2 linked regions of the Cricetulus griseus genome follow. The protein of the gene in region 2 purifies or fractionates together with the protein of the main gene of each other region. This does not show direct contact. Links are inferred from orthologs where the notes say so. Each region holds a gene or a part of one and is shown on either strand. Other genes may lie near its edges.

Evidence for each region.
Region 1: the proteins of Plekho1 (region 2) and Capzb purify together in Homo sapiens (co-immunoprecipitation; 3 studies listed by BioGRID and IntAct, counting the BioPlex papers as one, with this or other methods). This does not show direct contact. The link is inferred for Cricetulus griseus from reciprocal best matches to the Homo sapiens genes PLEKHO1 and CAPZB.

Annotation. Positions count from the first base shown.
Region 1 is NC_048595.1:14,043,006-14,058,473, reverse strand, and holds part of Capzb (F-actin-capping protein subunit beta), read left to right. Parts: intron 1-6,580; coding exon 6,581-6,702; intron 6,703-10,800; coding exon 10,801-10,914; intron 10,915-15,468. UniProt on the Homo sapiens protein: F-actin-capping proteins bind in a Ca(2+)-independent manner to the fast growing ends of actin filaments (barbed end) thereby blocking the exchange of subunits at these ends.
Region 2 is NW_023276806.1:60,518,326-60,534,481, forward strand, and holds Plekho1 (pleckstrin homology domain-containing family O member 1), read left to right. Parts: upstream 1-7,096; 5' UTR 7,097-7,222; coding exon 7,223-7,249; intron 7,250-7,384; coding exon 7,385-7,531; intron 7,532-8,099; exon of another isoform or gene 8,100-9,475; intron 9,476-9,826; exon of another isoform or gene 9,827-10,720; coding exon 10,721-10,861; exon of another isoform or gene 10,862-11,358; coding exon 11,359-11,463; exon of another isoform or gene 11,464-11,790; coding exon of another isoform or gene 11,791-11,803; coding exon 11,804-11,905; exon of another isoform or gene 11,906-12,481; intron 12,482-12,598; exon of another isoform or gene 12,599-12,852; coding exon 12,853-13,557; 3' UTR 13,558-13,812; downstream 13,813-16,156. Other genes in the region: Vps45 (vacuolar protein sorting-associated protein 45), read left to right, coding at 3,650-3,737; uncharacterized protein LOC113833187, read right to left, coding at 6,675-6,959. UniProt on the Homo sapiens protein: Plays a role in the regulation of the actin cytoskeleton through its interactions with actin capping protein (CP).

The sequences.
Region 1 (15,468 bases), on a different chromosome or scaffold from region 2:
CCTCCCCCAAAGGACTAGCTGCAGACAAACCCGTTTCCTCTCCAGCATTGGCAGGCCCCATCCTGGGCAAGGAGAGCCTCGGTTGTCCTATAAACAGGCTTGGTTTGGGAGACAGGTAAAAATATTTGGTAAGAGTATAGCATGCTCAGTCTCCTTCCCCTGAATGTTTGTATTGGGCCAGGAATGTGGGCAAGGCAGCTGGGGGAGGCAGTTGGAGGAATTTGGAGTTGGGACGCTTGAAGAAGCCAGGATTTTTTGCCATCTTCACACTGCCCCCTTAGAGTCTGTGTGGGGCTGGAGAGATGGTTCAGTGGTTAAGAGCACTAGTTGCTCTTTCCGAGGACCCGGGTTCAATTCCTAGGACTCACATGGCTGCTCACAACGGTCTGTAACTCCAGTCAGGGGAACTGATGCCCTCTTCTGGCCTCTACAGGCATTGTACACACACGATGCATAGAAACTCCAAGACAGAACACTCACAAGGGAAAAGAGGAGGTGTGATTTGAACACGAGCTGGGAGAACCTGGTGAGACCATGATGATGGCCCCTTCTGCCCCACAGGGCATATCATTTGTACTTGGTGGATGTCAAGGCCTGGCCTTGGCCATTTGTAACTCATGGATTTTGCTTTATAGATTTCGAGCTTTTGATGAACTCTGAGAACCCTGTCCTGAGTGACCACAGAGATAATAAAAGCAGCTAAGCCCCAGCTGTGAAATGTTCAAGGTCTGAAACTGAGCCGCAGCTTCCAATTGCTTGTGCTGGTGGAGCCCTCCTTCAGACTCGGCCCTAGGACTGAGGAAAACACAAAGGGTGTGGCCACACTCCTCCCTGTGCCTGATGCCTTATACCCGCCTCGATCCACTCATTCATGTTACAAAGAGCTGGGCCTCCATGGCTTGTTCAGAGTTCTAATGCTGTGTCAACATTGGGCACCTCATTGCCATTTGCTGTGGGCCCTCAGGCACCAGAGCACAGCCCACCAGGAGCTGGGAGCCATCCAGGAGCAAGACTGCCCTGCCAGCTCTCTCATGTGGATCACTTGCATTTCGTACTTCTAAAGTTGGGAAGGGATTTCTCACACTTGATGTGTACATACAATAGTGTTAATAATGCTACACCCTACAGGTCACCATATTCAGATGAGGGTTATGGGTATCTTTCTGCATAAGAATCTAGTGTCCAGTAAAGAGGAGCAGTGGTAGGCCTGGAGGAGCTGGGGGCCACACCGTGCAGGAGCCCCACCCTGCTGTTGAACTTTGAGAGAGCAGGCCCTACTTGGTGGTGGGCACAAACCCTGTTGCTCAGTCATCTCTTTCCCCTGCCTTCCCAGCTTGACTGGTTTGGGACAGCTTGCTTTCCTGGCCTTCTGTGTCTGGCTGTATGCCTCACAGGGACCATTCTTGCTGTGTGCACACCCTGACTCTCACACTTTCATTGGTGGGCTCTTGCTGCAGAGCTGTGTGCCGATACCCCTCCTCTTTTCCTTGCCATCTCTGTCATTTGCATGTCACCCCCCACCCCCAGCCTCATCTTGTGTCCCCAGGTTTTTTGTTTTTTTTTTTCCTGCCCTGGCAATACTGAGATCTCCCATTGGCACAAACCTTCCCTTCTCTAGTCTGTTTCCATGACTGGACCTTGCTGACCAGAGAACTGTGTATGTCTGCCTTGTCCTGTGCCTGCAGCGGGCACTCCGGTATTTAGTGTATGGGAAGAATTTCTCTGTGGGGTGTTAGAACTCCCAGTTCCTGGGTTAGGAGGCCGGTAATGGCAGACCAGAGTTTGAACCTGTTTGCCTTCCCACCATGTGTTGTGTTTCTGATGCTGACATGTGTGCCGCTAGGGACACTCTTCCTTGCTTCCGTTGCTTTATTTTTTTAAAAGTATGACTTTGGGGCCCTGCGGAAAGCAGGATCTGGTTGTAAGCAGAGCCCTCTGCTGGCCATTGGGGTCTCTGGCATCTACCCCTCTTCTCTGGAGTGGGGCCAGCTGGGACTCTCTCCCAAGCCTTGATTTCACCATCACTCATCTGCATGTGCACCCGAGTGGACAGGGTCTGCTTTCGATCCTTATCTCTCTGGTGGCGGGCTCTCAGCCAGCAAGCAGATCAAACGATGGAATGTGTTCACTTGGCCATTTTTTAAAAAATCAAGGTCCAAGGGTTCACTTCTAAAAGACGAGGGCGCCAGGGATTAGATTATCCGGAGAGTTGAACCACTCTGGCTTTTGTGCTTTTTTTTTTTTTTTTTTAAAGGGTTCATCTCGAGTTTCTTTTTCTGGTTGAACAAGTTTTTTTTTTTTTTTCAAAATTAATAACTAATGGAAAAGAGGAAGAGGCAAAGTAGAACCATATGACAGCTCACACAGGCTTGCTTGTGGCCGGAAGCTTCTGATTTGTGTTGCCTTTCATTCGATCAGCTGTTGGGTTAGATAGGAGGAAAGCACGCCATTTGGGCAGGAGCAGCACTGAGATGTATTTCTTAACCCAGCTGAACTGTGTCCCTTATGCCCCTCTTAGATGCTGGCTACTGGCTGTGTGACTCTAAGCAGCTTGTTGCTCAGGCCCCGTGTGCCCCTTCTTTAAAATAAATGGTCTCTATGAAGACCTGCCCTGGGGATCGGAGTGAGTAATGCCAACAGACTTGGCCCCATGGTGGCAGATGCTCATCTCTTTTGTGGTTTATTACCGGCATTATCTGGTATAAGGTTTTGCTGTGTGGCCTACACTGGTCTTGAACTCATGGAGTAAAGTGTTTCTTCTGCCTCGGTCTCCTGAGTAGTTGGGGCAACAGGCACATGCCGTTGTCCTGTACCCTATTAAAGCTTTCTTTGCTGTGCTTGGGCTGAACCCAAAGCCAGACAAGAGCACCTGGTTCCTGCCCCTTGGCTAGTGTGCAATAAAGAATGCTGTGCTCTGAGCCTTCCCTCTGGAGGTGACAGCAGGCCCTGTCCCAGCAACATTAAATGGTGTCACTGGAAATTAAGTACTCCCAGCAGCCTGGGTTGACCAACTCCCTTGGTGTTAGGTAAACGTTCCGTGCAGAGGCCAGTGGTAGCAAGGTAGGTCAAGTGTGCAGTTTGGGGAGCAACCAAAAGCCATTTGTGCTGGCTCCACTCCTCTCCTTAAAGGCTGCAGAGCCACGGCCACAAGGCACACACAGTGGACTCTTAGCTAGTTGGACCTGGCCATGCATTTAAGTTGCTCTTTAAACTTACAATTTGTGACAACCAAGAATATGACACAACCAGTGGGTGGGAAGAACGGAGGGGAGAAATTTTGAATAATCTACTGGGTTTCAGAGATGAGCAGCCATTGCTCTCCAGTGTGATCTCAGGTGCCTGAGCATAGATTGAGATCCCTCTGCAGCTGATGGGACACAATGCTTGGTTGGGGTGCCCTCAGGGCCTCGTTGGGCACAGCATTAACCCAGTTGACACGGGGCAGGGAAGAGCAGTCTATTGGTGGTATTAGGACAGCCAGCTCAGGCTTATTCACTGTCCTGCTGACACAGGGTTATTCCAGGAACCCCTTTTGAGGAGTGGGAGTGCAGGGTGGGCCTGCAGGAACATTGGGACCCAGAAGGGGAATGTGATAGACTGTTGGTTGTCCCGTGGAACATTTGAGGCAGAGTCAGACTAAAATGGTCTTCATCATAAATCTGAAATTCATATTTAACTCATCATCCTACAGTGTATACACCAGCTCTCAGTGGGGAGGGTTTGTAAACAAACTTGCATGTTGAGGGGACAGCTAGTAGGCCAGTCTCAGGATTAGGGGCAGGACGGGTAGGTGGTACCCCCAGTGCACTCTGGGGCAGCTGCTCCCTGCCACACTGTATATCCTGTACTTGTTTCCAGTGATGGCCATAGTGGTGTTGCTCCAGGCTTGATTGTCTTTGATCAGAAGAAGACGGGGTGGTGCAAATAGAACTTGAAAATATGGCCCTACTTGAGAACTTATCCTTCAGGGACTCAGTGGGTGGAGAGCCAGCCTGCACAACCTATCCAAGTGCTTGTGCGCTGGGGTGTATCCTGTGTCCTGCATGATCTCCTGGCTTTCCTGTGTGCCACCAGGGGCTCAGTTGAAATGTAAGTTCTTCTGTGCTTGGTCAGAACTGGTGCGCTTCCAGAAGTCCAGGGCAGCTCTTCATGGGTGACTAGTCTCTGGTGTGAATTGCCTACTCTTTTTGACAGATACAGATAGATAGATATATATTTTGCAGGGCAGTGACCCAAGATCTTCTGGTTGTCTTTCTAACATTGCTGTGACTCTTCAGGCTGGGTTTGGGAGTTTGATTTGGCGATGGGGTTGGTTGGTTGTTATTTGAAACACTGAGGATTGATTTAGGACCTCATGCATAATAGGCAAGCACTCTGCCATTGAACTGTCTATATTCCCAGACATCTATTTTTTTCTTGAGACAAGGTCTTAAGTTACTCTGGTTGGTTTGAAATTCATTCTACAACCTAGGCTGTCTCTGACCTCCTAATACCTAGGATTATAGGACTATACCACCAGGCCTGACCATGCTGACATTGAACTCATAGGCTGAAATCCTTCTTCCCCCTCAGTGGCGAGGACTACAAATGCACACAACTGTGCCCAACTGGCAATTGACCCTCTTTCCGGCAGCTCCCATCATCTTGCCAGCCTGGCTGGTAAAGGAGAACTGGCTTCTGAAGCATCCCTCAGCACCCACTGTCTGAAGCAGTGTGGTGCATTGAGGTGCAGAGAGGGCTGGCATTGCTAGCCAATATTAGCAGACGTCTGGACATCGGTCCAGATGAAGAGAAGTAGGTGCCAGGGCTGACTTGACATGTGTTCCCTGTGCAAGGAGTCCCCAGCAGCAGCCCAATGGCTTGATTGGGGCCTGGTAACAAGCCACAGCATGAAAGGTGGGCGTGCAGGTGCCAGGGTCATTTCATTGGGCAGACCCAGCTGCCTCATGGAAGCGTGAGGCACATCCAGGGTGTCCCAGGTGGAGGACTCTAGCTATAACTGAGCAGTAGTGGGGGCTGGGAGGAGTTGTGCACCTTTGTCCTTACTGTCCAGAGAGGCAGAATGGAGGATCTTGGGAGACACCTTGCCCTAGAGTGGATTTCTGTATTCACTGCTGGCTGTTGGTGTGAACCTTGGGCAGCTTAAGGACTCTGGGCCTCAGATCTGTACTCTGTAAAACAAGGCAGTGGCTACCTCCTTCACGTCCTGGTATGAGCATTCAGGTAAACAGCATGCTTTGCCATACCTGGCCCAACATCGTAGACAATACCCAGTGGGCACTTAGACATGATAGAGAGTGATGTCACCAAAGCCAACTTTGAAAATAACCCCACTTGCTGGTTGGTTGGGTACACGGGTGCAAGTTCCCCTGGAACTGGAGTTACAGATAGTTGTAAGCTGCCATGTGGATGCTGGGAATTGAACCCGGGTCCTCTGGAAGAGCAGCCAGTGCTCTTAGCCGTTGAGCCATCTCTCCAGCCCCTGACCAAGTTCTGAAAACAAGCATAGCATGCTTTGGCTGGAGGCGTGTACTTTTTCTCTGGGACTGGTGTATATGCAAGAGATGGAGCACCCCTTGGAGCAAGATACACTTTAGTGCTAGGTAGCACTTTCCAAGCTAAGCAGTGATGCACCCCAAGGACAGCTATATGAAGCATCAGAGCCTGGTTGTCCTGGTGGTGCTAGCCTTTGGGACACAGGACCCAAACTGCTGCTAGCCCCCTCTGCTGGCAGCCCCTTTTCCAAGAGTTATTGGTGTGGGCAATGATGAGGTGGGGTCCCGTGAACCCAGACCCTAAAATGAGAAAGCCATGACATGGAGACTGGACGTGACTCAAGCACAAAGGCACCCGCTTCTTCGAGGGCTGCCGTCCCTCCCTGGAATACTTTGGTGGAAACTGATGTTTGTGTTGGGAGGAGGCAAGCCCCAGCCTGCTCCCTCAAAGGCTCTGGTGGCCATTGGCAGTACCCTGTAGTTTGTTCCAGCCACCTGAGCCACAAAGCTGTTCTCCTGTCACCCTCGGCTGTGCACCCAGGTGAAGCTGCGGAGGTGAGCTGGCTGCTCTCTGCTGTGGAAAGCGTGCGGAGAGCCACCTCTGTAGCAGATACAGCTGGCTATGAGCAGCCTGGTAATGCTTGGCCGGGGGCCTGGAAAGTGCTGGAAACTCCACCCGGCATGGGGGAGCCTGTGGGAGTTCTCCAGAGCCTGGTTACTCTTTGAGTTCTTTGCATTCCTGTGTATTTGAAGTGTTTGCCTTCTTCTCAAGACCTGAGCTGGTATTTCGTCCACCAGAAACCAATACCCGGCACTCACGTCCTCATACTCATAGACCACCCTGGTGGTCAGGTAATTAAAGCCACACCCAGGATTGGAAAGAAAGCTACATTGGAAGTCATGCTCCACGACATCTCACGACCAGGTTTCTTTATAGAGAGCCACAGTTGGTATTGGGCACATGTGGAGAGGACCAGACTCAGAATTTTGGAGGGCACTACAAGCCAGATGTCAAAGCCTGACCTTGTGGTGTCGGAACCTGAATTAGAGGTGCTACTTTAACCACCTTTCTACCTTTTTACCAGGTCCCCAGTCTGTGTGAAGATCTCTTGTCTTCTGTTGACCAACCACTGAAAATTGCCAGAGACAAGGTGGTGGGCAAGGATTACCTCTTATGCGACTACAACAGAGATGGGGACTCCTATAGGTGAGCTCATACAGCAGTGCTCGTCTCTGCGGCACCCGGGACCTTCCACACATTTCTGTGTGTCCTTCTTTTTCCTCCTCCTTTTAGCTGTCCATCCCATCCATTAACAGGCGTGTGTGGGTGCCTCCCCTGAGCACTGGACAGAGGACCTCGGTGTCTTGCAGTCTCATGGAAGAGCCATGCTGTTTCAAAGCCAGCTGCCCCATGGGGTGGCATGTCCTTCCTTCCTCTCTCTCCCTTCCTTTGCCTTCCACCATGTGGCCTGTTGTAAGAGGCCAAGTTGATATTGGTCCCTGCCCAGGAAAACACATCCAGTAGCTGATGAACTATACTGTGGTCCATACAGCCAGTTCAGAGTTGGCTCAGGACCTTGGCAGAGCCCAGAAGAAGCTGTGGTCAACTCCAGAATGACTTTGTGAAACAGATGATGCTGGGCTAGATGTTTTTAATAGACTAAAACTAGCTAACTAACTAACTAACTAACTAACTAACTAGCCAACCAACCAGCCAACCAGTTATTTTGAGGGAGTCTCACTATGTATCTTTTGCTGGCCTGGAACTCACTCTGTAGACCAGGCTGGTCTCAAACTCAGTGATCCTTGTGCCTCTGCCTCCCAAGTGCTGGGATGAAAGGTGTGAGCCACTGTACCCGGCACACTTGAGATACTTTCCCTTAAAAATTCCAAGTGTGAGAGTCCCCAGAACATTGCAGGATTTCCCTGGGCCTGCACACACTAGCTTAGTAGAGACCACACTGTGAACTCTTTGGAGAATGTTAAAGAAACAGGCAGAGTGACTGGGAGCAGCAGTGTGGGCTCCGCATCAGCATTGGGACTTTAGCCAATCCCTTGTCATCTCTGCTCTACTGAACAGAAACAGTAGTGGTCATTCATCCCACAGAGCATGCAGAAGCATCATTCTGTAAGTGTCACCTGTGCTCCAGGTACTGTTCACGGCTTCTTTTCCTGTGAGGTCCAGACAGGTCATAACATAAACACATGCATAAAAGATTGCAGGCCGGGCGGTGGTGGCGCACGCCTTTAATCCCAACACTCGGGAGGCAGAGGCAGGTGGATCTCTGTGAGTTCGAGACCAGCCTGGTCTACAAGAGCTAGTTCCAGGACAGCCTCCAAAGCCACAGAGAAACCCTGTCTCGAAAAACCAAAATAAATAAATAAATAAATATAGCAAACATACTGTTAAAGAGAACAGGACAAGAGAGGGAGAGGCAGAGGGGGTAGCCAGGGTGTAGGTGGAATTTTCTGTTCTGCCAGCTAGCTCCCAGATAACCACAGAGACTTATTAATTATAAATGCTTGCCCAATAGCTTAGGCTTGTTACTAACTATTACAACTTAAATTAACTCGTTTCTTTTTTTCTTTTTTTAAGATTTTATTTATTATGTATACAGTCTTGTGCCTGCACGCCAGCAGAGGGCACCAGATCTCATTCAGGGTGGTTGTGAGCCACCATGTGGGTGCTGGGAATTGAACTCAGAACCTCTGGAAGAACAGTCAGTGCTCTTAACCGCTGAGTCATCTCCCCAGCCCCTAACTCATGTTTCTTATCTACATTCTATCACGTGGCTTGGTACCTTTCTTCAACACAGCTTCTCCCTGAGTGTCCTGGCAACTACACCCTTCTTCACCCCAGTGCTCTCTCCCTGTCCACAAGTCTCGCCCAACACTTTCCTACCTAGATATTGGCCATTTAGGGGAGTGCCCTGAAAGTGACAAACAACCCTGTGGTAGGCCAAGGGAGCACATGGCCACAGAAAAAAACCCTCACCAGGTTCAGTTAGGGCTTCCTGGGAGTCTTGTCAGTGCTGTTTCTGAACACACCAGGTAAGGTCGCTGCTATGCTGGAGCTCAGGGAAAGACAAAATGAAGTCCCGGCTTGTGTGCCCCTCCCACTAGGGCGTCATCCCTTCCTGGGCACCCTGCAGGCCCCACTACAGCTCCAGGGGGCTCTAGGGACCAAGGCCTCACGGGGGAGCAGAGGGGGTAAGGAGAGAGCTTGACTTCCCTCTCCCTTTCTGGATCTGAAACTTCAAGGTCCTCTGATTTTCTCCACACATTTCCATCCTGTGTTTGATCGTTTGCTTAAATAAGATCCGTATGACACGGCTGCTGCCAGCAGCACTGCTTGAAACCTGTTAGCTGAAACAAAAAGCCTTCTGGGGAAATGAAAGGCCTGACTTTTGAAATCTAAGCATTCCTGTCCATCTGTCTTTTCTCAAATGGCCTCCATTTAAGCTCTTAAATGTGTTCTGAGTGCCCCTTCCACTAAGAATATTCTGGGTAATGTTATGATTTTTTTTCCCCCAGCTACAATTACCCCGGCTCCAGGCCTAACGGCTTGAAATGCCGTCGTCTGTGAGGCAGGAGGACCACTTAACAGGCTTCTTACACTTCAGGCCCCAGTCTGCATGGGATGGGTGATTGTGTCCTAGCAGGTTGCTTAGATTTTTAACCACATTTATCCCCCCCCCACTCTGTGTGTGTGTGTGTGTGTGTGTGTGTGTGTGTGTGTGTGTGTGTGTGTACATGTGTACATGTGTACATGTGTACATGTGTACATGTGCACACACTCGAGGTCAGAACCTAAAGGTTTTCTCCTTGCACCATGTGGGTTTCAGGTATTGAACTCAGGTCATCAGGCTTGTCAGCAAGTGTCACCTTGCAGGTCCAGGTTGTCTTTCAAAAAGAGTAAAAGGCTGGGTCTTCTGTGCCCATGTGAAGGCGATGGTGGGGGGAGGGGGGAGGGGGGGAGATGTGGACTCACCCTGCTTACAGATATGTCAGGGATTCTCAGAGGAAGCAGGGTTGGGGGGAGGTCCAGCTCATAGTTGGTTCTTGCACACTGTCCCCCAGTAGAAGAGCCAAACCTCGCTGACTAGTAAGTAGTGGCAGCTGCCAGCACCCTTCAGCTGTCCTCTGAGATCTGAGGAAAGATGCCTTTCTGTGTGTCCGCCCTTCCTTCCTTCCTTCCTTCCTTTCTTCCTTCCTTCCTTCCTTCCTTCCTTCCTTCCTTCCTTCCTTCCTTCCTCTTCCTCTTCTTCTTCCTCTTCCTCTTCGTCTTTCTTTCCCTTTTTCCCTTGTTTTGTTGTATTTGGAGATAGGGCCTCGTTAGATAGCTCAGGCTAGACTCAAGCTTGATCTTCCTGTACCTCTTACAGCTGCCAAGACTGCAAGCATGTAATGTCACCCTAGCTCCATCCCTGTCTGTTGGCCCGAAGGACCCTGCAGAGTTTGTCAGGTGCCACAACGGCCCCTTCATCAAAGACTCAAGCTAGTTCTGGTCTTGGGGTAGCCCAGGCTGTTCCCCCTTCTCCATCAGTCCTTAGGTCTTCAGTCTGTTGGTAGGGGTGGGCAGGCTTGAGCTTGGAAAGGATATTTCTTGTTTGGGAATTGAGCCTGAGGACTTATCATGGACAGGTTTCTTTGTGTGGGCAAGCACATTCGCAGCCCCCTTCCCCCCCCACACACTCCTTTGGAAACTAGCAAGGAGACCTTCTTAAAATGCCTCCCATTGCTCTTGGTGATCTAATGTTCTCCTGGTGTGGGAAAAGGTGCTTTTCAAAGCAGCAGGTTGGGGCCTGGTTCTCTTTACTTCCTGTGTGCTTAGCCCTGTGTGCTGGGTTCATTGACTGTGTTCCCTAAGGAGCGAGGCACCTCCTGCCTGCTTCTCTAACTGACAGCAATCTTCTTCATACTTATAGTCTGAGGAGCCTCCAGAAAGTCAGGGAGACATGGGCACTGGCTGACCACTTTGATGGTGAACACAGGGAAACACTGGTATTTGTGGCCACGGCACTTGCCATTCTTTCTATCTGTTCCTCAAAACAGCCCAAGGGTAGTGAATGGTAGCCTTGTTTCCCACAGGAGAAAGTGAGGTTGCAGCTAAGGTGTTTGCTGGTGTTAACAGCTGCATTTAGCCTGTCTGCTGACATCTGACCCTTTGCTCTATAAGCCTCTCCAGAAAACTTCTTGGTGACTTGGCCCCTGAACTTGAGGCAGCTGAGCTTGGACCCTCTGTTTACAGGCCAGGGGACTCGGAATGATTCACAGGACCATCTCCTACTTTGCTACCTTCCAGGTCACCGTGGAGTAACAAGTATGATCCTCCTTTGGAAGATGGGGCCATGCCTTCTGCTCGACTGAGAAAGCTGGAGGTGGAGGCCAACAATGCCTTCGACCAATACCGAGACCTGTGAGTTACTCTGCACATTAGCTCTCGGGGCTTTCATGGGGGGAAATCTTCTGTGAGAGCGTGACTAAGCTGAGCAGCCTCCCTGCTCTGCTGCCTGGTCTCCTAACTTGCTAAAGTCGGAGCCACCTGAGGCAGACATGACCATATTATTCTGTTACCATTCACAATAGTGGCAGGTGAGTCGGGAGAGCACATATGTGTTTACAGGGCATGTTTACACAGGGCATGTGTTTTGCGTTCCCACTGTCTCAGGTCCTCTCAAATGAATAGCTATTTCAGTGGGAGTAAAGTGTCGGATGCTACAGTGGTGCAGTCACCACATAGCGCTCACACAGAGAGAATGAGGAAGTTTGTCCAAGGCAGGGGCAAAGCTAAGACTCACACATGGGTGATCACTCACAAATACGCAGTTAAGATACAGTCTCTCTCTGTAGCTTGGGCAAACTGAGTTTGTGATCATGTGTGGAGATTACAGGTGTATGAGAACACACCACAGCTCTTAGATAGAACTCCATTTGGACTGGAGCTTGGGGGCCCAAGCTGACTGCTCAGTTGCCAAAGCAGAATGAACTGGGGTGTCATGCAGTGGGACATGGCAACCCCAACCCCTAACACCCTTTTTACCTCCCTTCCTTCCTTTGGTGCGCGTGTGTGAGGTATGAATGAGTGTGTGCGTGTGTGTGTGCGTGTGTGTGTGTGTGTGTGTGTGTGTGTGTGTGTGTGTGTGTGTGTGTGTGAATATGGACACATGCACACATGGAGGCCAGGGGTCATCGTCACATGTCCTCCACTCTCACACACACACCCCCCACAGACACACACACGGTTTCTCTGTATAGCCCCCACTGTCCTGAACTCACTCTGTAGACCAGACTGGCTTTGAATTCAGACAGGCACCTGCCTCTGCCTCCTGAGTGCTGGGATTGAAGATGTGCACCACACTCTCCATTCTATTTATTGAAACGGTCTCACTGAACCTGTTTGGAAACACTCATTGGCTAACAAGTGCCAAGAATCCTCCTTATCTCGCACCCACCCACCCAAGTGCTCGCGTTATAGGCTCACACTACCATGCCCAGCTTTGTTTTTCCTGAGTGCTGAGGGTTGAAACTCAGATTCCCGTGCTTGCATAGCCAGCATCTCACCAACAAGTCACCTCCTTTAGCACCAGATAAACATCTGAGTCCAAAGCTGATCAGGACATCAGCACAAGAAAATCTGCTCCTTTTGATCCCTTTTTGTTCCAGTTTTGCAACTCTTCAAGGAAGGGCTCCAGAGAAGGTTGTGTTTAATGAGTAGAATCTCATTTCAGGTTAGGTTCTCTACTAGAAATATAGCAATACAAAGTTAGTAGAAATCCCATCCCCATCCCCATCTGCCCCACTCCCCCCCAAATCTGGGACAAGGGTTGGCACACTCCCATGAAGGGACAGGTGAGTGATCACATTAGGCTTGCAGGCCACAGACAGCTGATCTTGGTTTTGTCTTTTTGTATGCCACCTTACAAGATGTAAAACTCACTTCTTGAGCCCTGATGTAGGTGGATTCAACCTCCATCTCTACTTGATTCAACCCTGGCCTAGCATAGAGGAAGAAAAAAAGGAGCTGAGAGAAACAGTGAATTTGAACAATGCCCTGAAGTTAGAAGACAAACCCAGGGCTCCAGCGGGCAGACTATGGATGGTCTCCCATTCATTCACACCAGTTTGCTGAAACTCACTTAGGAGGAAAAGGGTTCCTTCTTAGCCTGACACAGACGGTTACCAGAGAGCCATCACCACATGGTCCCAAACACTTCAGTGGCCCCCCACATACTTGTGTGTATAGCAGCCATCTTGATGTCTTATATGGTGAGGATTTACATATGATGCCTTTTTTATAATTTATTTCTGTGTGCATTGGTGTTTTGCCTGCATGTGTGTCTGTGTGAGGATGTCAGATCCCCTGGAATAGGAGGTACAGTTGTGAATTGCCATGTGGGTGCTGGGAATTGAACTCGGGTCCTCTGGAAGAACAGCTAATGCTCTTAGCTACCAAGTCATCTTTCTAGGAAAGGTGACACAGAGGAAGACACAGATACTGAGGCTCCCACAACTCACAGGGCATGCCGGCAGAGAGCAGGGATTCAATCTCCTTTGCTTGACATTTGTGCCAATGTTACTTCTCATGGTTCAAATGGGGTTTCCTATCTGATGGGTCTTACATCTCCTGTTTGGCCACTCTGTGGGATCGCTCCTCCTGGTGGTGCTGAAAACCTGCTGTCTGTGCTTTAGTTTTTCACTCTCTGATTTCACCTTGCCATAGAAGCAGCTTCAAATAAATGAACTCTTCACGCTGAGGCCCAAGTAGAGTCAGTTTCATGTTGCAGTAACATTGCTAGTAAGACAGCATTGGTAGTAAGTCACTGTCTGGTGACCCTGGACTGTGGCCATCTTCTTTAGGGACTATCCCCTCCCAGAAGTGAATCGACATTCAGAATTGCTTTCATCCACGTTCACGGTCAGAGCGTGGCAGAACTACGGGGAGAAAGACCATGCTGTTCTCCTTTGCTTTCTGCTGCTGCGGTGAACACTGACGAAAGCCAGCTTTGGAGAGGAGGGGGTTTGTCTGTCTCAGGGGTTGCAGTTAATCACTGAGGGAAGAGCCAGGAGTCCCGGCAGAGACTATGGAGGAATGCTGCTTATTGGCTTGATGATCGTAGTTACCTTTCTTATATAATCCAGGACCACCTTCTGAAGGGTGGCATTTCCTACAGTGGCCTGGGCCCTCCAGCTACTCCCACATAAATCAGTAATCAAGAAGATGGCCCCACAGACTTGCCCACAGCCAGTCTGATGGAGGCAATCCCTCAATTGAGGTTTCCTCTTCTTCAGTTGACAAATTTGAGTCAAGTTAATAAAAACTAACCAGGACATATCCTCATCCAACTCCAGAGTCGTGTGTGTGTCTGGGTGTGTGTGTGTGTGTGTGTGTGTGTGTGTGTGTGTTGTGTGTGTGTTTGTTTTGGTTCTTCGAGACAGGTGTCTAGAAAGCCTTTGTGTGGCGCTGAGGACTTTTCCACATTGTTGCTGGTGTGCAGGGATGGCAAACCATGCCTTTCTCTCTTCATTGCTACCCTTCTCTGCCATTGACCTCCGCCCACAGGAAGTCTTAGTTGTCACCCCATGAATGAAGCCACAGAGCCCTTCCAGGGACTCGAGCACTTGTTTTTTTTTCATGTTGGCAAACACCAAACACACAGGTCCTCTGGGAGGAGACATCCCACCCAGTGCTAGACTGTTCCAAGGGTCCAGGAAGGCAGGCTGGCTCCAGACCTGGTGGAAATACACACATATTCCTCAAAGCCACCCCTTCTAGAAAGAAAAGGAACAAGTGAACATGTGAGCCTGTGAACATGAGAACAGTACCTCCAAGCAAGCCATGCTGGACCCAGGAAGGCTGGGTAACTGAAGCTGCTGTGCTGTAGGTGGGGCGTGTGACAGTCAAGCCCACCTTTAACCTCTGACTGTCTCCAGTAGTTCAGAGTTCTTGGGTCATGATAGATCACAGAGGAGAACCCATGCTTGACCTTTGCTCAAGGCTTCAACTCCTCCCTACCGCATGAGGAGCTTCCAAGCTTCGGACACAGCAGAGTCACAGTCTCCTCATGGAGAACACTGGGCTGCTGTGAACCCTCAGGGAGTCTCACCCTCCTTTATATTGGGAAGGGCATGCTGAGCCTGCTCATACAGGGGTTTGGCACACATTCCAAACAGAATACAGGGGCTTAGATGCCATGGTCCTGCTGCCCATGAGACCGTGTGCAGCAGCATCACTGCGCGTTTGGTTGCTTACCTGCTATGACCTTGCCTTTATTGCTAGTTTTCCTTAGAAGATGACAGAAGGAGAGGGCAGGGAGTGTGTGGGGCTGCCTCAGCCCTCTCAGAGATGGGAAGTGCTCAGGGCCTCCCTTAGGGTTCTCTGCCATGAGATCCAAGAAAAGACTAGATTCTGTCTTCAGGCCTCAGCTTTGATCCCAGGTCTGTAAAGGCTTTGACTTTGCAGGGAATTGGAGTTAATCACCCGCACATGGAGTCCGTCTGGTCAGAGTGGCAGCTGGGGCCAGGGTGGCTGCAATGCAGGCCCTCTGGCTTAGAACTCCCATGGGGATGTAGCACACATGCAGGCCTGTGAACGGTTCTCAATTAGGGATAAAGGGCTAGCAGCCCCCAAGGTGGACAAGGGCAAGTAGGACTGAGGGAGGCAAGCTGGGTTCCTCCCTGGCTGCCTTTGAAGTGCCTTGGTTCCCGCTTTCCCTGCTCCCTGCCCCCTTCCTCACTATTCCTCTCCAGCCTCCCCTCCCCCCACTGCTTTCTTTGCTGTCCTGGACAGAAATAATCACGATTTTTTTTTCCCTTCCCTCCTGGAGAGTTCCTGTGACAGCAGTACCCTAACAGCCTAGGTTTCAGATACAGGGTTGATTTGTGAAGCTGCCCAGGATGCCAGGTGTGCTTTGCCTCAGGGGCAGACTATAAGGTACCACCTGCTCCAAGTCGTCTCGGATTCCATCACTTC
Region 2 (16,156 bases):
TCATCACAACAATAGTAGCATTACATTGTTTTAGTAGGCATTACCTCTAAGATTTATCTATATCACTGCTTGTGACTTTGTTCATGCATTTTCAGTGCTGTGTAACATTTCCTTATATGGACAAACCAGTTTATTTCTGAATCACCTGTCTATTGAAACCTGAGAGGTTTTTTTTGTTGTTTTTACTTATTTTACTTTTAATATTGCTATTGCTTCTTTCAAGGAGCAAAAGAAATATGAGCCAAGAGTACTGGCATAATATAATTACATTGTTGGGAGCATAAAAGATGATGCTCATAGTGCTGTAAGCTAGCACTTAAGGAGGAGAGAAATCAGAAAAGTGAGCAGGATGTGCCTGGCTCAGGCTCCAGCCATGGAATTAAATAAGCCCGTATTTCTCAAATGAGGATATGTTACTCCTAGGGACATGCAAGGACACAGAAAAATGTAACATGTCTTTTAGAGTATCCATTTTCATATAATTCAGAACATACACAAAGAAGAATTAAATTAATAAAATAAAATGAAGCTGTGGCAGGAACGTATAAAGGTTTTCAGGAAAACAGAAAACCCCAAGTGCTGGGGTTCTGTCTGTGTACCACACTTGGATTAACGCTGTTTCTTCTTATATGGTCCATAAAGACATAAAAACTACATAGTCCATTTTTTTTATTATACTACTTAGTGTGTATGTAGAAGGGGTATGCATATCATGGCACACATGTGGACACTGGAAGACAATTTGTTCCCTTTCCACCACGTGCATCCAAAAAGCAGACTCAGGACACCAGGCTTGGCATCAAGCACCTTTACCCACAAAGCCATCTCAGCAGCCATTGCACTGCATGTATGCATTAGATAATATTAGTCCCCACAAATGAGCCTGTGCCCTCTCCCCCTTCTTCCTCCCATATAATATCTGCCTCTAGACTATAGTGAAAAGGATAAAGATGCTGACTTAGGTTTGTACATATGTGTGGAGTGTTGTTTAGGAACAGTTATTCATAGGAATTGCCTAGTAATTAACAGAACATTAATGCTCTGAGTGCTGGTTTCTGCTCTGTGAGCAGAGACTAGAAAGTAAAAATGATACAAGCATTTCAAAAGGATTTATTTTTGTTTTATGAGTGTTCGCCTGCATGTGTGCAGAGGCCAGAAGAGGGCATCAGATCCCCTGAAATTGTGAGCCACTGTGTGGGTGCTGGGAGCCAAACCCAGGTCTTCTGGAAGCGCTCTTAACCGCTGAACCATCTTTCTAGCCCAGTGCCTGCTTTTCTGTGTATAATGAGTTTTCAAGGCTTGCTGTCCAAGAGCCAGACTCCTCTCATTCCACCTGCCATCTGGAGAGTTGGGAAAGCACCCTGGTGACAGACAGCACAAACCAGGAGCAGCAGTGCTGACTGTCAGCCCCATGCTGTCTGTTTAGGCCACACACCCTGCCCAGATGTGCTATGTATCTGGCCCTGAGAGCCCCTTAAAGTCAGCCTCATAGGCGATGGTCCTGCCCACACATAGTTCAATGTAGTTCACAGTCATGCTCAGTAAACATTTATTAAATTGAATTTAACTGAACTGGGTCGCATTCTAGCTCCACACGAGATTTTTTTAGTTTCTTTTTAGGTAAGATTGATTTTTTTTTAAAAAATCTAGACAAGAAAAGGCATTCTTTTTGTTTCATTGTTTTTAAACATAGTCTAAATTTAGGATACAGCTACCAATATGTTCATTACCCATAATTTTTAAGCATTCTGAGCAATGACTCATCAAAGTCCTTAAATAGATATTTGAAAAGTCACAATAGCCTTGGGAAACAAAATTAGGTTTGGCAAATACCGTGTTTTCTCTTTGCAGTCAGGAATATTCTGTCTTACTGATCTACAAGGGAGGGGTGTGCTGTATAATTTTAGCAAATTCTTTTCCCTTTGTACTAGAGTTGAAAATGAGCAAAGATCATCTGACAAATTCCTATAGGGAACCCAGCACAGCTTCCTTCTTACTAGAAACCATTGCCAGAGAACATTCCCTTTCCAAATGCAATACTGCCTCCTCTCCTGACACTGGCTCAGTGTCCTCCAGTAAGTATCTCCAGTCTGATGGCCAAAAGGTGAGGCCAGACAGAGGCATCTATACTTCAGCAGAAGATAAATGAGCTTGGTTTCTACTCCTTTCCTCCTCCTCCTCCTCCTCCTCCTCCTCCTCCTCCTCCTCCTCTTTCTTTTTGTCTCTAATGGAGTCTAGAATTTAAATCTTCCCAGAATCTTCCAGGTCTGAACTATAAAGCAGTGACGAGGTGCCTTCCACTCATCTCACCCTGCTCTAGAGCTGTCTCTTGAGTCTTGAACTTGCTTACAAATGTTAAAGAGAAGCCTCTCTCACCAGTGGGCGACTACTTTAAACAATTTGTTTATTTAGCTTATGTTTTGGGGGTAGCTTTACCAAGCCCTGCAGAAGTGGCTGAGTAAAACTCCAGCTTAAGCAGACTCTGTCGAAATATGAAAGGTAAGGACCACACCTAAGGTTGTCCTCTGACCTCTACATGCATGTCCTGACATACCACACACACACACACACACACACACACACACACACACACACACACTTTTTTTTTTTAAGAAAGATTTTAAAGAGGAAAGAGTATCCAATAAGATAAACTCTATAGCTGGTAAGTGGTACACGCCTTTAGTCTCAGCACTTGGGAAGCAGAAGTAGGCAGATCTCTGTTTACAGGACAGCCAGTAATGTTACGCAGAGAAACCCTGTCTCAAAACAAAAACAAAAACAAAAACAAAAACAAAAAAACAAAGAAACTCTGTATTTTAATAAAATACAGATAATAGGTATAATGGTTCTCAACCTCAGTCACAGTCCCCGCAGGGGTCAACATCAGATATCCTATATGTCAGATATTTACATTACAATTCATAGCAGCAGCAAAATTACATTTATGAAGTAGCAACAAAATAATTTTATGGTTGGGGTCCCCACAACATGAGGAACTGTATTAAAGGGTCACAGCATAGGAAGGTTGAGAACCACTGTCCTAAAGTAATACATTAAAACCTTGCCTTTAAAAGATCCAGGGTCCTGCGACTTCTTTTTAAAGTTTCAGTGAATAGGGGCACCCGCTGCTGAGCTTGATGAACCGAGCTACAAGTTGTCCTCTGACCTAGAGGACACACTGTGGCACATGTGAGACATGTGAGACATGGCGGCTACACTCACACTCTCACCACTTAGAAGGCTGAGAGAAAAGGGTTATATGAAGCTAGCCTGGGTTACATAGTGAGCTCTAAGTCAGCTAGAGCTATGTCATAAAACCCTGTCCAAAAAACAGCAAAATTTTAGCGAGGCAAGGTGATGTCACACGCCTTTAATCCCAGCACTCAGGAGACAGAGGCAGGTAGATCTCTTTGAGTTTGAAGCCAGCCTGGTCTACAGAATGAATTCCAGGACATCCAAGGAAAAAAACAAAAACAAAAGAAAACACATAAAGGCGTTGTCAATCCTCCAGGCCTGAATGTTTTTTCCAAAATACTCAGCACACAGTATCAGATAGAACTTAAGTCTGTTCAGTGCCTGCCATGAGAGTGATGCTCTTTTTTAGTGAGGCTTTTGCTTTTCTGCTAAATAACCTGAATCTCCTTGTCAGTTTCCTAGAGGAAGTCCTGGCTTCAGGGCTGCATAGCCGCAGCAGGGAGAGCTCACAGGCCACCTCGAGGTCAACAAGCAGAAGATGAAACGGCAATGAAGAATGACGAGAATAGCACAGCCTCCCTCTTACCCCGGCCTCAGCCCTTCCCTGCTGCCCGGGGGCCTCAGGAAGGCTCTTGTGTTTGTTGTAACTCGTGCCAGGTAACCCCAATCCCTGAACTGCTGGCACAGACACTGGAACGCCCATGATGAGCCCATCCCAACCCACTTGTGATTCTGTACCAAATAAACATGTCCTTTGTGTATTTGACAGCACAGTCACTTCAGTGTTTGATGGGCGTTGTTGAGATTGTTCTTGAGAAATGGGTTGTCAAAATAAGGAAGTCAGAAAGCCGTGTGCTGTACATGGTACCATCCCTATGCCCTGTCTTCTCTTGGTGGTCTGAGTGATAGGAGCCAGCCATGGTAAGGACCGTGGAATCAGACCTATGGGAAGTTGACAAAGCCTTTCCCTTAGATCAGGCTCAGAAAGGCAAGTCCTTCCTCTGTCCAAGTAGGAATGTTCTAGCAATATTGACCACTAAAAAACTAGCAACTACAGCTTCCTCCTCCAGTACAACTGAGGCCTGAGACTGCCCCCTACAGACACCACCTACTGAGACTAGCCTGAGACTGCCCCTACAGACACCGCCTACTGAAACTAGCCTGAGATTGCCTCTACAGAAACCACCTACTGAGACTAGCCTGAGATTGCCCCTACAGACACCACCTACTGAGACTAGCCTGAGAATGCCCCCTACAGACACCACCTACTGAGACTTGCTAGCCCCACCCTCTTTACCCCCTTGGCAGTACTTGAGGCCCTGAGGCTCCAGGTTGCTGTGGCAGTACTGAAGCTTCATCAGGGGGCACACAGAGCACCTGGCCTCAGTTTTTCTGTACCTGTGTTTGTTTCTGTTCTTCCTGCCTTCCCTTTCTGCCCCAGGAGGAGTTCCAGGACACAGCCCCTCATTTCCTGTTCACCTCAATCCTGCACCCTTCTTTGGAGAGCCATTTGCTGTGTGTTGAGAACCCATGTAGGGCTGCAATTAGAATTCAGTCTGCAGACATACGGGTGGTTTTGTTTGACTTCTTTAAGGCTCACTCATGGGGATGACTTGAGATAGTGTTATACCATACAATGAGAGCATGCCTGTACCCAGGGCACGTTTAACTGTACCAGAGCAAATGAAAACTTTCCTGAAAGTTGTAAAAAGTGATGGAATGAATAATGGCAGGAAATTACAGTGTCCTCACATAATTGGAGAAAAGGTGTCACAGGATAGTCTGTTATCACCACAAGAGTCCCTCCTGGTTCTCTGTAGAGTGTGTTTTTAAAGTTTTAAGATTGTATATGTGTTCCTGTGTGTGTGTGTGTGTGTGTGTGTGTGTGTGTGTGTGTGTGTGTGTGTGTGTGTGTCAAGCTCCCTGAGTGCTGTAAAAATGTGTAAAGGAAATCAGAAGTGCTTATTCTAAGTTCTCACTTAAGCACTGGTCTCTGGAAACAGTGCCACTTAGGATCCAAATTCAGGTGCCCATGATGTTCGCCTGGTGAGAGAAATCCACTTTACAGCAAACTGGGTAGAAGCTGGCATATGTAAACGTCTAGTGCCAAGACAAAGAAGCAAAGGTGAGGAAGATGGCCGAGCTTCTTAATAGTTCCGGTTACTGGGAGGGAGGGAGCCCCGGGGGACGGGGACCAGCCAGAGATTTATGTAACATCTTAAGACACAGACAGGCAGCAAAGGCTCTGCAGCCCACATGCATCTGCTCTAGAATCTGAAAATTACTTTGGTTATTTTTTTATGGGTCCCTCTGCCTGATGTTTCTCAGAGCACTAGCTCCTGCCTGATGCTGTGCAGAGAGCCCAGGGATACTCTAGTATCTGTAGACTAAGTGAAAGCTCCTGGGAGGAAGGCGATGAGGCAAAGTCATGAATTTCTTCTGCCCCACCCCCAGCCACAATTTATCATTCTATTTCCTCCTTGTGATGCTGACAATTGAGCTAGACCCCCCTCCTGAATGCTAGGCAAAGAGATCTACCACTGAGCCACACTCCCAGCCCCTTTGAAACTATGTAAATCAGGTGGAGACAGGAGGATTAGCACATCAAGATTAGCCTTAGCTATGTAGTAAGGCTGAAAGCAGCCTAGGCTGTGTAAGACCATATATATATATATATATATATATATATATATATATATATATATATATATTCAATCCAAACCATTCTTCTATGCCCGGCCAACAAGTTCTCGAAAGCTCCTGTAGGCTAATTTCCTCAGCTGTGTCCTCACACTGGTACATTATGCTTCCTCACATAGCCTGCATTTTCTCACTTTTTTTTTTCATCACCTTTTAAACAGGACAGTACCAAACTGAGCTGGGGAGACGGGAAGGGGATAGTTTCAGAAGTGCGCTCTGTGTGTACAAAGTCTAAAAGGTACAACGGGGTCAGAAAACCTATATTCTAATTCATGTAACAGTAGTGTGTCAATTTGACCATGTCATTTGGTTCTCCGTGCCCGACTGATCATTTCCCAAGGGATAACATTCCCATTCTATATGCCTAACAAAACGGTACTCAATATTTTTAAGTGCCAAAATAATATTTTGAAAGGATAAAGTTCTGCATCCACCAGAAAGAAAAAAAAAAATCAGTTCGTATGGCTAGGAAAGAGAATCTTACAGGATTGGGAAGGGAGATGGGTCTGAGGTTCTTTCTTGACAGATTCCAAAAAAGCCCAAACATCCTCCACGCCTCCAACCACAAACTTCGCAACCCTTCATCTTGAACGTTTCTGGAAAAAGACTATTTCCCCTGCTCCGTAGCAGGGGTCTTTACTCACTTCGTGGTTGCTGTGTTTACCATACTATACCAGGTAATAGGTTTATTGGCTTATTGTCTGGTAGTAATTGGCCCTAGGAGACAACCCTTGGGTCCTCCGGGGCTTTCATGGGTCAGCTCACCCTCCTCCATTTACCCGGCAGGGGCACGGAGACCGCCGAGTGGTGAGGAAAGCCGTCCTCAAACTTGGGCTCCCGCCCGGCCCCGTCACAAACTCAGGGCTCGGCCGGCTCGCGGGCCTCCCCGCCGCCGCACGCGTGTTTCCCGCAGGCCTCGCGGGGCGCTCGCGGCCGCCCCGGAGGAGGTCGAGACCGGAGCCTCCGGAGGGAGCTCCGTAGCCCGCGTCTGAGGGTCCGAGGCGGCCGGTCTCGCCCCGCGCCTCCGCTCCATCCGGCTCGCCACGCCTCGGGCCCGCCCCCATCGCCGCGCCTCTCGGTTATCCGCTCGCGCCTCCGCCGGGCGCCGGGTCGGAAACAAAGGCGGGGGGCGGGGAGCGCGCGGCGGCGGCGGCGGCGCCACGGTCGCCCTTCATTCGGAGCCCGCGACGTCAGCGGCGGCGGCCGGGGGCCCGTGCGGCGGGGCGGGGGCGGGGCGGGCATGGGCGGCGGGGGCAGCGAGGGCCCGGCCTGCGGGTAGCGCGAGCCGGCGAGCGAGCAGCGGGCGCGGCCCCCGATCCCGCCGGCCATGAAGAAGAGCGGCTCCGGCAAGCGGGTGAGTGCGCGGCGCGCGGACAATGGGGCCGGGGCCGGCGAGCGGGGAGCGGGCGGGCGGGCCGGCGAGCGGGCGGGCGGGGAGGGCGCGGAGACCCGCCTGAGCCGCCGCCGCTCCTCGTCTCGCCCCGCGCAGGGGCCTCCCGATGGAAACCATCACTCTGCGGCGCCCGAGAAGGTCGGCTGGGTCCGGAAATTCTGCGGGAAAGGGATTTTCAGGGAGATTTGGAAAAACCGCTATGTGGTGCTGAAAGGCGACCAGCTCTACGTCTCCGAGAAGGAGGTAGGCGCCCTTGCCCAAGCCGTCCCGACCCGGTCCCCACGGCGGCTGGTTCTCCGGCTTGCCCCGCCTCCCTCCCTGCAAGTTCAGGGGTCGCAAAAGTCCTGTATCTGCAGAGAAAAGTCACCCGAGTGACTTTACCTGGGTGGGAATTAGGAGTTTACTTAATTAAATGTGCCTGTGAGGACACCTTTCTCAGAAGTTCTGAACGTCCGCTGCCTCTTCCCCTGTTCTGGCCCCCTGAAATACGGGATTGATTTTTTTTTTTTAATTTTCTGTTGAAACACACTGCTCATCTTGTCCCTCGTCCCTTTCTGCCTTTCCCACCCCAGCCCCACCATCCTTTCCGTTCCTGTCTGTAGCAGGGGGCATATGTAGGTCTCTTGAGTAGCAAGTCACCCTAAATCATAGAAAACACAAACTGCGATCCGTCTCTGGGACCTGAGGTAGGGTAGCTGTGGATGCCAGACTTTTGTAGAAGCCAGCGTCCTGAAGTAGGCCTCTTCCTCACCTTCCACTCCACTTAATGAGGAAAAAAAACAAACAAACAAGAAATTCATATTCTGCCCACCTTTATTTGTAGAGTGGTGGAACCGAGTTAGGACTGTGAGCGCCTGTGTGCACGTGTGCTTTGACTGTAGTTGAGCATGAAGCCACAGCCCACACTGGTCAGAATCTAAAGCCAGGTCATGGAATCCAGACCCCCTTCCCCTTTTGTAACTCTTGAATCAATAACAGGAATGCTGAGAAGCCGAACTTGCTTCCCTGTGACTTTTTACAGAGCATGGTACACTGGCCCCTCAGACTGGCCCTCCCGCCCTTGACTGTGTTCCCTCACCCGGAACGGACTGGGAAGTCCTCCCCAGTTCTAACCCCTTCTGCTTTCAGCACTAGACTCTTGCATTGTGCCGTTCTGTTCGGGTAAATAAATCCTTTTATGGTGTTGAAGTAGACACACTTGCAGCCCAAGAGAAGTACTCATCTGAAAACTGTCTACTGAGACAAGTAGAGAGAACTAAATAGCGCTGAGCCGGCAGGCGAGGTCCCTCTTGAAGGGACCTAAACATAACGGTTGGAGAGTCCTGGAGCAGCTGAGGGAAGGCTTGAAGGAGACTGTACTTTGAGGGTCACTGCTACAGACAGATGCCACAGACAGCTTTCATCACAATTTTCTTGCTTTCCACTTTTTTGTTTGTTTTAAAAAGCCGCAGCAAGTGTCACTGTGTATCTCCTGTCTTCCCTGAACTTCATAATGCCAGGAAAAGCAGTGCGCAATCAGGAAGGGCTTCCTACATGTCAGAGGGAAACCAGAGGGCAGTGAAAGGCTAAAGAAACTAAACAAGGCTTTTTTTTTTTTTTTTTTTTTTTTTTTTTGGCTTGTATTTGTCCAAAAGGCAGAACCTGGGGATTGTCCAAAAGGCAGAACCTGGGGACAAAGGTGCAGGATTAATTGGCTAATAAGCTTTATGTCAAAGAAGAACTACGGAGCAGAGAGATGATAGGATGACCTCAGCCTAGAGTGGCTGCTGTCCTCTGAGTCAGGAGCATCTGACTAGTCCTGGAGCCAGATGCCCCCTACTGGGGAGGGCATTGGAAAAGAGGGAACTGCTCCTTATTATGACCCTTCTTCAGAACCAATTCCGTGGTCCAGTGGACCCGGGCTAAGGGTGAAGCTGCCAAAAGACACGGTTTATTCTGCCTGTAAACAAAAGCTGCAGTAAACCAATAGACTGACGACATTAAAACCAAGAGCATAGTATTTGCAGGTCACATGCTGATGCAAAGACGAAAACGTCCCTACCCATTGCATTGTTTCTGTCAGTCTTTCTTGGGAAAGCAAGGAAGCCCTTCCATGTGTGCTGTTGGTCATTCCCCACTCTCCAAAGGCACCCTTTAAAAGGGCTGGGATGTCTTCTAGTCAGCAGATCCACACCTCAGGGTGGCTTCCTGGGAGAGGAAGTTAGGTTGATAAAGTGATGCTTTGTGTGTATGTGGACCCCGAGAAGAAAGGGTTAATTTGGAAGATGTAGTCATAAATGAGACTTTGGGAATTTGGTGTGAGAAACAGACAGAATACAGCACAGAACAAGGTGCCAGGGGCGCCCATCTTTTCTGGGCACTGGCATTTACTTATTCTACTGCCTGACTCACCCAGTCTCCTACCCATGCCCTTTCTGACCTCTGCCAATGCCTCCTGCTCCCAGAGTGCCTTATCAGCCATGCCCAAGCAGGGGGAGCTCCCTCCCTCCCTTCCCTCAGGAAAACAGAACAAGTGAGTCTTTCCCCTGCCGCACACACCCAGCTCTTCCTCTCCAAGCCTTCTGGTCTCTGCTGATAGTCTCTTTGGGGAAGGAGCCAGAGAGGAGGGCCCCGTGTCACAGCCTGGGTTCCTGTGAATTGTTCTTGAATGTTCCTTGTGGCACCTGGTCCCACGTCCACCATAATGTTTAAGGCCTCTGGTCATTTCCCAGCCAAAAGCCCAGGAGCCCTAGAATGGGAAGAACCCTAGAGAACTGAGCCTTGCCAGACAAATGGAGATAGATGTGTATGCCCTTTGCTCCCACACAGCACGTGTAATCAGCAAATGAAAAGGATGGGCAGATCAGCTACAGGCTGGTAGAGGTCTGCCAAGGGAAACATTGGGCTACTTAGACACGTTTGCTCAGTTTCGACTTTTCCCCGGGGAAACATGACCAACTAGTTCCAGGCATATTCCCAACCAAGTAGAGGAGGGTGGCCAGCCTGCTGATCAGGAAAAGTCTCCGATAAAGTCCTTTAGAAGAGAAAGCAGGTGGGAAGGAACACTCTTGTGAACCATAATATTCCCTGAGGCCAGAAGCAGCCCTTTGCCATTCCCAGGTGTTGGCTGCCTTTTTCACCTTCTCCTGGACTGTTAATGGCCACTTGCATCTTCCTTACTTGGGATGATCGGATCAGCCTATCACCATGTCCCTTTAAGGACATGTAAAGCCGTGTCCTTCAGAAACAGAGTGAGGGTCATGGGTAGAAGGAGGCACTGGAATGGTAGCTTGTAGGGCAAAGGGGTTAAACAGAATCCCACACAGACTCAGTTCTGAGTCCCATCCCCGGTTATATGCCTTGGGTGAGATAGCTTCCTTCTGTCACCCTTCCCTTTCTTCAGATGCAGAAGCACAGTAATTTTATCCTTATCACACCCCAAAACTCCCCTAGGTAAAAGATGAGAAAAATATCCAAGAGGTGTTTGACCTGAGTGACTATGAAAAGTGTGAAGAACTCCGGAAATCTAAGAGCAGAAGCAAGAAGAACCACAGCAAGTTCACCCTGGCCCGATGCAAGCAGCCAGGCACCACGGTAGGTCTGCCGGCTTGGCAGGCTAGGTGGGGAAATGTCCCTGCAGGCTCTCCCTCGCTGTAGTCTTAGCTGCAAGGCCCAGAACAGCCCCCAGATTTGATCTCCCTCTGGCTTTTATTATCTAACTGGCTCTGCCCCCTTTCCCCCTTTACACACACACACACACACACACACACACACACACACACACACAAGCCATGCTTGTCACACTCTGTGTCTTCAGACATTTAAAGATCTCTAATACCTAAGCTTTGTCACACCTACCCTAATTGTCTGCAGTGTCAAGTTCAAATCCAGTGTCACTCTTAGCTCATCCCTGATTATGTCTAAAACAACCTGTGCATTCTGCGGGAACAGACTCAGGGTTTCTTTCAGTCATTCATGATCCCAGACGCAGAGCCACTCTTTTCCAGGAGCTGGGTGCAAGGGATGAGATTATCACATCTCTTTCTTTATTTGTAAAACCCTAGCTAAAACAAGAAACATTCCCCTCACAGGCCCCCAACCTGATCTTCCTGGCGGTGAGTCCTGAAGAAAAGGAGTCCTGGATCAACGCCCTGAGCTCTGCCATCACCAGGGCTAAGAACCGTATCCTGGATGAGGTAGGGGCCTGTTGTGGGGAAAGGGACACTAGAGCAGAAAGCAAGCTGTGACTCACTAGAGGAGGAGGGGTGTGGGGGCCCCCTCTAGCTCTCCCCAACTCTACTTTCTCTGTGTCTTTGAAGGCCCCCTTGTCCCATCTTCTCTCTGAAGTCTTTGCTCACCCTCCTCTCCAGCTTCCTGCCAGCCTTGGAGCATCTGTGTCCATAAACCCTTCTGCCTGTGACCCTGCTCAGAAATAATTGGTGGGGTGGGCTTATTCTGCAGTCCAGGCAAGTTAGGGGTCGCCCAGCTGGGCCAGAGTCCTAAAGAAAACCTGTGACTCACAGTGCATTTCTTCAGGTCACCGTTGAGGAGGACAGCTTCCTTGCCCACCCTACTCGAGACAGAGCAAAAATCCAACACTCCCGCCGCCCTCCAACTCGGGGACACCTCATGGCTGTGGTATGTAAAACTGCAAGAAAGTAAACACTGCGGGGGGGGGGGGGGGCAGCTCTGTGTCAGTCCACCTCAGCTGCGAACAAGCAGGAGCATTTGTGGGAGTCCTCCTCATAGGAGGATCAAAGGCACAGTCGGCCTGTCCACCCTCCATTCCCTGTCTGACTCCCCAAATCAAAATTGCTCACTCAGCACCTGCCCTGAGTCAGACATTGTGTTCTCAGTAACTTCTGAGGAAATGAGAAATGCCCCTAGGAAAGAGAAAAACAGAAGTGTGTGTGCAGAGTGATACATGCTGCTTGCCGTGTGGTGGCCAGCCACCCTCACGAGTGATGGTAAATGCTACTATGCCCCACAGCAAACCTTCCACTGCATGAAGTAGTTTCTCTCATTCAACCATGTTCCGGGTCTAGGGAGAGGCTGTGCCTGCAGGAGGAAGGACACAGGCTTTGGATTCAGCAGACCGGTGATCTCTAGGGCTACCAGGCTGTGAAGTGGGGTGGTGACGAGTCTTGTAGTGAGAAATGTCCAGAACGGCCCACGTGCAGCGGCATAGATGGGGCTGACTTCCCTTTACCGCTGCTACAGCATTTAGAAATAAGAGAACAAGGTCTGTTACCAAGCAAGAGTGCGGGTATCAGCGCAAGCTAAGGTGTGTGGCCAAGAGGGCGTGGATAGAGAATTCTCCTGTGTGTGTACCTTACTGTGAACTGTGGCCATCCCATGTGATACTTAAGAGTCCACAGCAGACACTTCTCAGGAGGCTTGTAGCAGAGCAGAGAACGCAGACTATGCAGGAGAAGGTATGTTACAGAAAAACAAAAGGAAGAACTTCAAGTCATCATCACAGTGATCTGAAATAGCCATGTCGAGGGGCTGAGTCAGGAGTGGGGGAGGCCAGGAAGGCATGTGCTAATGGCAGTTCCTCCCTTCTTTCACATTCTCTTTCCCAGGCCTCGACCTCTACCTCAGATGGGATGCTGACGTTAGACCTCATCCAAGAGGAAGACCCTTCCCCTGAGGAACCAGCCTCTTGTGCAGAGAACTTTCGGGTGGATCTGGACAAGTCTGTGGCCCAACTGGCTGGCAGTCGACGAAGAGCTGACTCTGACCGGATCCAGCCCTCACACCGGGCCAGCAGCCTTTCTCGGCCTTGGGAAAAACCAGACAAGGGAGCCACCTACACCCCCCAAGCCCCGAAGAAGTTGACCTCTACAGAGAAGGGCCGCTGCGCCTCCCTGGAGGAGATCCTGTCTCAGAGGGACACTGCCCCAGCCTGCAGCCCCCTTCACCTCCAAGCTGAGGAATCCCCAGCCCCCCTTCCCTCCCAGCCGGTGCAGCTGTCCCGGATCCAGGACCTGGTAGCAAGGAAACTGGAGAAGACTCAGGAGCTGCTGGCAGAGGTTCAGGGACTGGGAGACTGCAAGCGAAAGGCCAAGGACCCCCCACAGTCTCCACCCGATTCTGAGTCAGAGCAGCTGCTGCTGGAGACAGAGAGGCTACTGGGAGAGGCTTCGTCCAACTGGAGTCAGGCAAAGAGGGTCCTGCAGGAAGTCAGGGAACTGAGAGACCTGTACAGACAGATGGACCTGCAGACCCCCGACTCCCACTTCAGACAGACCTCCCAGCACAGTCAATACCGGAAGAGCCTACTGTGAAGGAGGGGGGACAGGTCTGGAATTTAGGGGGCACAGACTATCTCCAAATGTTGCAGGATAAAGCTTTTTTTATTTACCTCAATCAAAAAAAAAAAAAAAAATCAAACTCATTGCTCTTGCTGATGCCTGACCCGCTATGGCCTTTTCCTACCAACTCCCCTAGACAATTTGCTGGTCAGATCGGAGAAGGTGAGGCCTGAGGAGCTCTCACCACACGGAGTAATAAAACAGCGCTCACTGCGCACATGCCACCTGCTCCCAGGCCAGTCGGGAACAGGCGCGGATGCATACCCATCTGGGTTAGAGTGGCCCAGGAAGTGGCTTCCTCAGATGTCCCACTGCAGGTTCTCATTCTGAGGGTGAAATTTCAGCTGTGCAACTTGAGTTCTAGGGACACAGGGGCCAGTGCCACCTGTCCGTGCCATAAGAGAAGTGAAATGTACCCCAGGTCTGAGGAGGATATGTGGAGTTAACACTGGCTTCTCACCATGGTGTGTGTGTGTGTGTGAGAGAGAGAGAGAGAGAGAGAGAGAGAGAGAGAGAGAGAGAGAGAGAGAGAGAGAGAGAGAGAGAGAGAGGTGTCTCTAAGGCTGAGGCTATAGTGGTATAGTGCTTGCCTAGCACATGTGAGGCCCTTGTGCCCTCTCCAGCATTACAAAAACATTGAGCTGCCTCGGTTTTCTTATCTGAGGTGCTTTCTGTTCCTTCCACCAGAGATTCAAGGTACAAGCTTGAATAGATGAAACCGGCCTGGTCCTCTGTCTGGGCTGGAGTAGCACAGGAACTGGGGAGCAACTGATCCTGTGGAAGAACTAACCTAAAAATGAAACTGGCTTGTGATGGCAGCTGTGTGGGAAGGAGGGGAAGCCAGACCTGTACCCAGCTTCCTCTTTTTGCCAAGCAAGGGTTCCTTCTACCCGCCCTCCTCCAGCCTCCACCCTCCCAACAAACACAGCTTCAGAACAGCTCTCCCCATACCGCCACCTCCCCAACTGCCTGCTCTGTGGCAAGTCCCCCATGGCTGGCTCTCTAAGATTATTAATGCTAATGGTAAGGCCTAGAGTGGGGAACACAAGATCTGGATGAGTCATGAGATAAGAACATAGAGTCTCTAGAATCTGGCATACAGGGTTTAAAGATGGAGCATGAGTCCTTTGTCCTTGCTCCCCCTGAGGCCTCACCTCTGCTGCCAGGTCCCAGAGCTTCACTGGTGGTGAGAGGAGATAGATAGGACAAGCTAAGGGGGCTGGGGAGAGAATGTTGTTGACCTCTATTCTGTTGGGACTTAACCACCTTGTAAACAAGTTGGGGGAATCCTCCAACTAAACCATCAAAATGGGATTCTGGGTTTTCCAGCACATGTGAGTGATGGAGATTTGAACTCAGGTCCTTGAACAGCAAATGCCCTTACCACTACGCCATTCCCCCATCCTGCCCGAAGACAGGCTTTTGTTTTCTTAGTTCCCTGCTTTTCACTGCCATCAAAGTTTTCTCCATAGCTATAAAGCTATAGTTATCTAGAAACAAGGACCCCTCTTTTTTGATTTGGTTTGGTTTTTTTCAAGACTGGGTTTCTCTGTGGCTTTGGAGGCTGTCCTGGAACTAGCTCTTGTAGATCAGGCTGGTCTCGAACTCACAGAGATCCACCTGTCTCTGCCTCCCAAGTGCTGGGATTAAAGGCGTGCGCCACCAACACCCAGCTTCAAGGACCCCTCTTGAGCCAAGGAAAGTACACAAACTACCCTGTTACTGAATACCCAGGCACTCCTGGGGACAAAGTAAGGGAACCAGGCTTCCTGTCCCCTCAGAGGCTCCACTTTCCACTGCCCTAGCCCTGGTCTTGAGAGCCAGCCATTGCCACAAATACTGAAAGTTGGTTTAAAATTACACACTAAAGATGCCTTCCCATATTTTCATTTTATCAGCATTTTCCATTTTCTCTTTCTCCTCCTTGTCGCCCCCACATAACGAAGAAAAAAGGCAAAACAAGAATGACATATGTGTCCCAACATGCCAATCACAGGTGGTATCCAGGGGAGGGAAATACACACCCCCCAAAACCTCCCAGCTCCCCAGCCAGTGTTCCAGCATCATACCCTACGGTGCTAAAGTCAGCCTGGCTTGGAAACCACAGGGGGTCTGGATTCAAGCTCTGACTGTTACTTTTTGGTTAATCTGCCCTGGGTAAAACGGCTTGATTAGTATTTTCTCTGCAAACTACAAAGTTGTTGCGTAGTAAAGAACAGCCAGTGGTCTCTCCTCGTCTCTCCATTCATGGCTCCCAGGGCTGCGGTGACCAGTTTGGCTCAGTGAGTAGCGAACAGCAAAGTCAGGTGACCAGAACACAGCTTGAATGAGGCAAAGGCCACAAGGCCATCAGTACCACTTTTTCTCATCCTGGAATGGGCCACAGGCCATGCCCATCCCTCTCCGGAAGGAGGGCATTCGAGGTACCTCCAGGCACTGTGCTGAAGACAGCTGGAAGGAGGGAAGAGCGTGATTCCTGGTCTGCAACCATTTCAGAGCTTAACACAAAGCCACGTTCCACACTAGAAAAGCAACCTAAATTCTACGCTTGGGGTGGGCGGCTGCCGGCGAG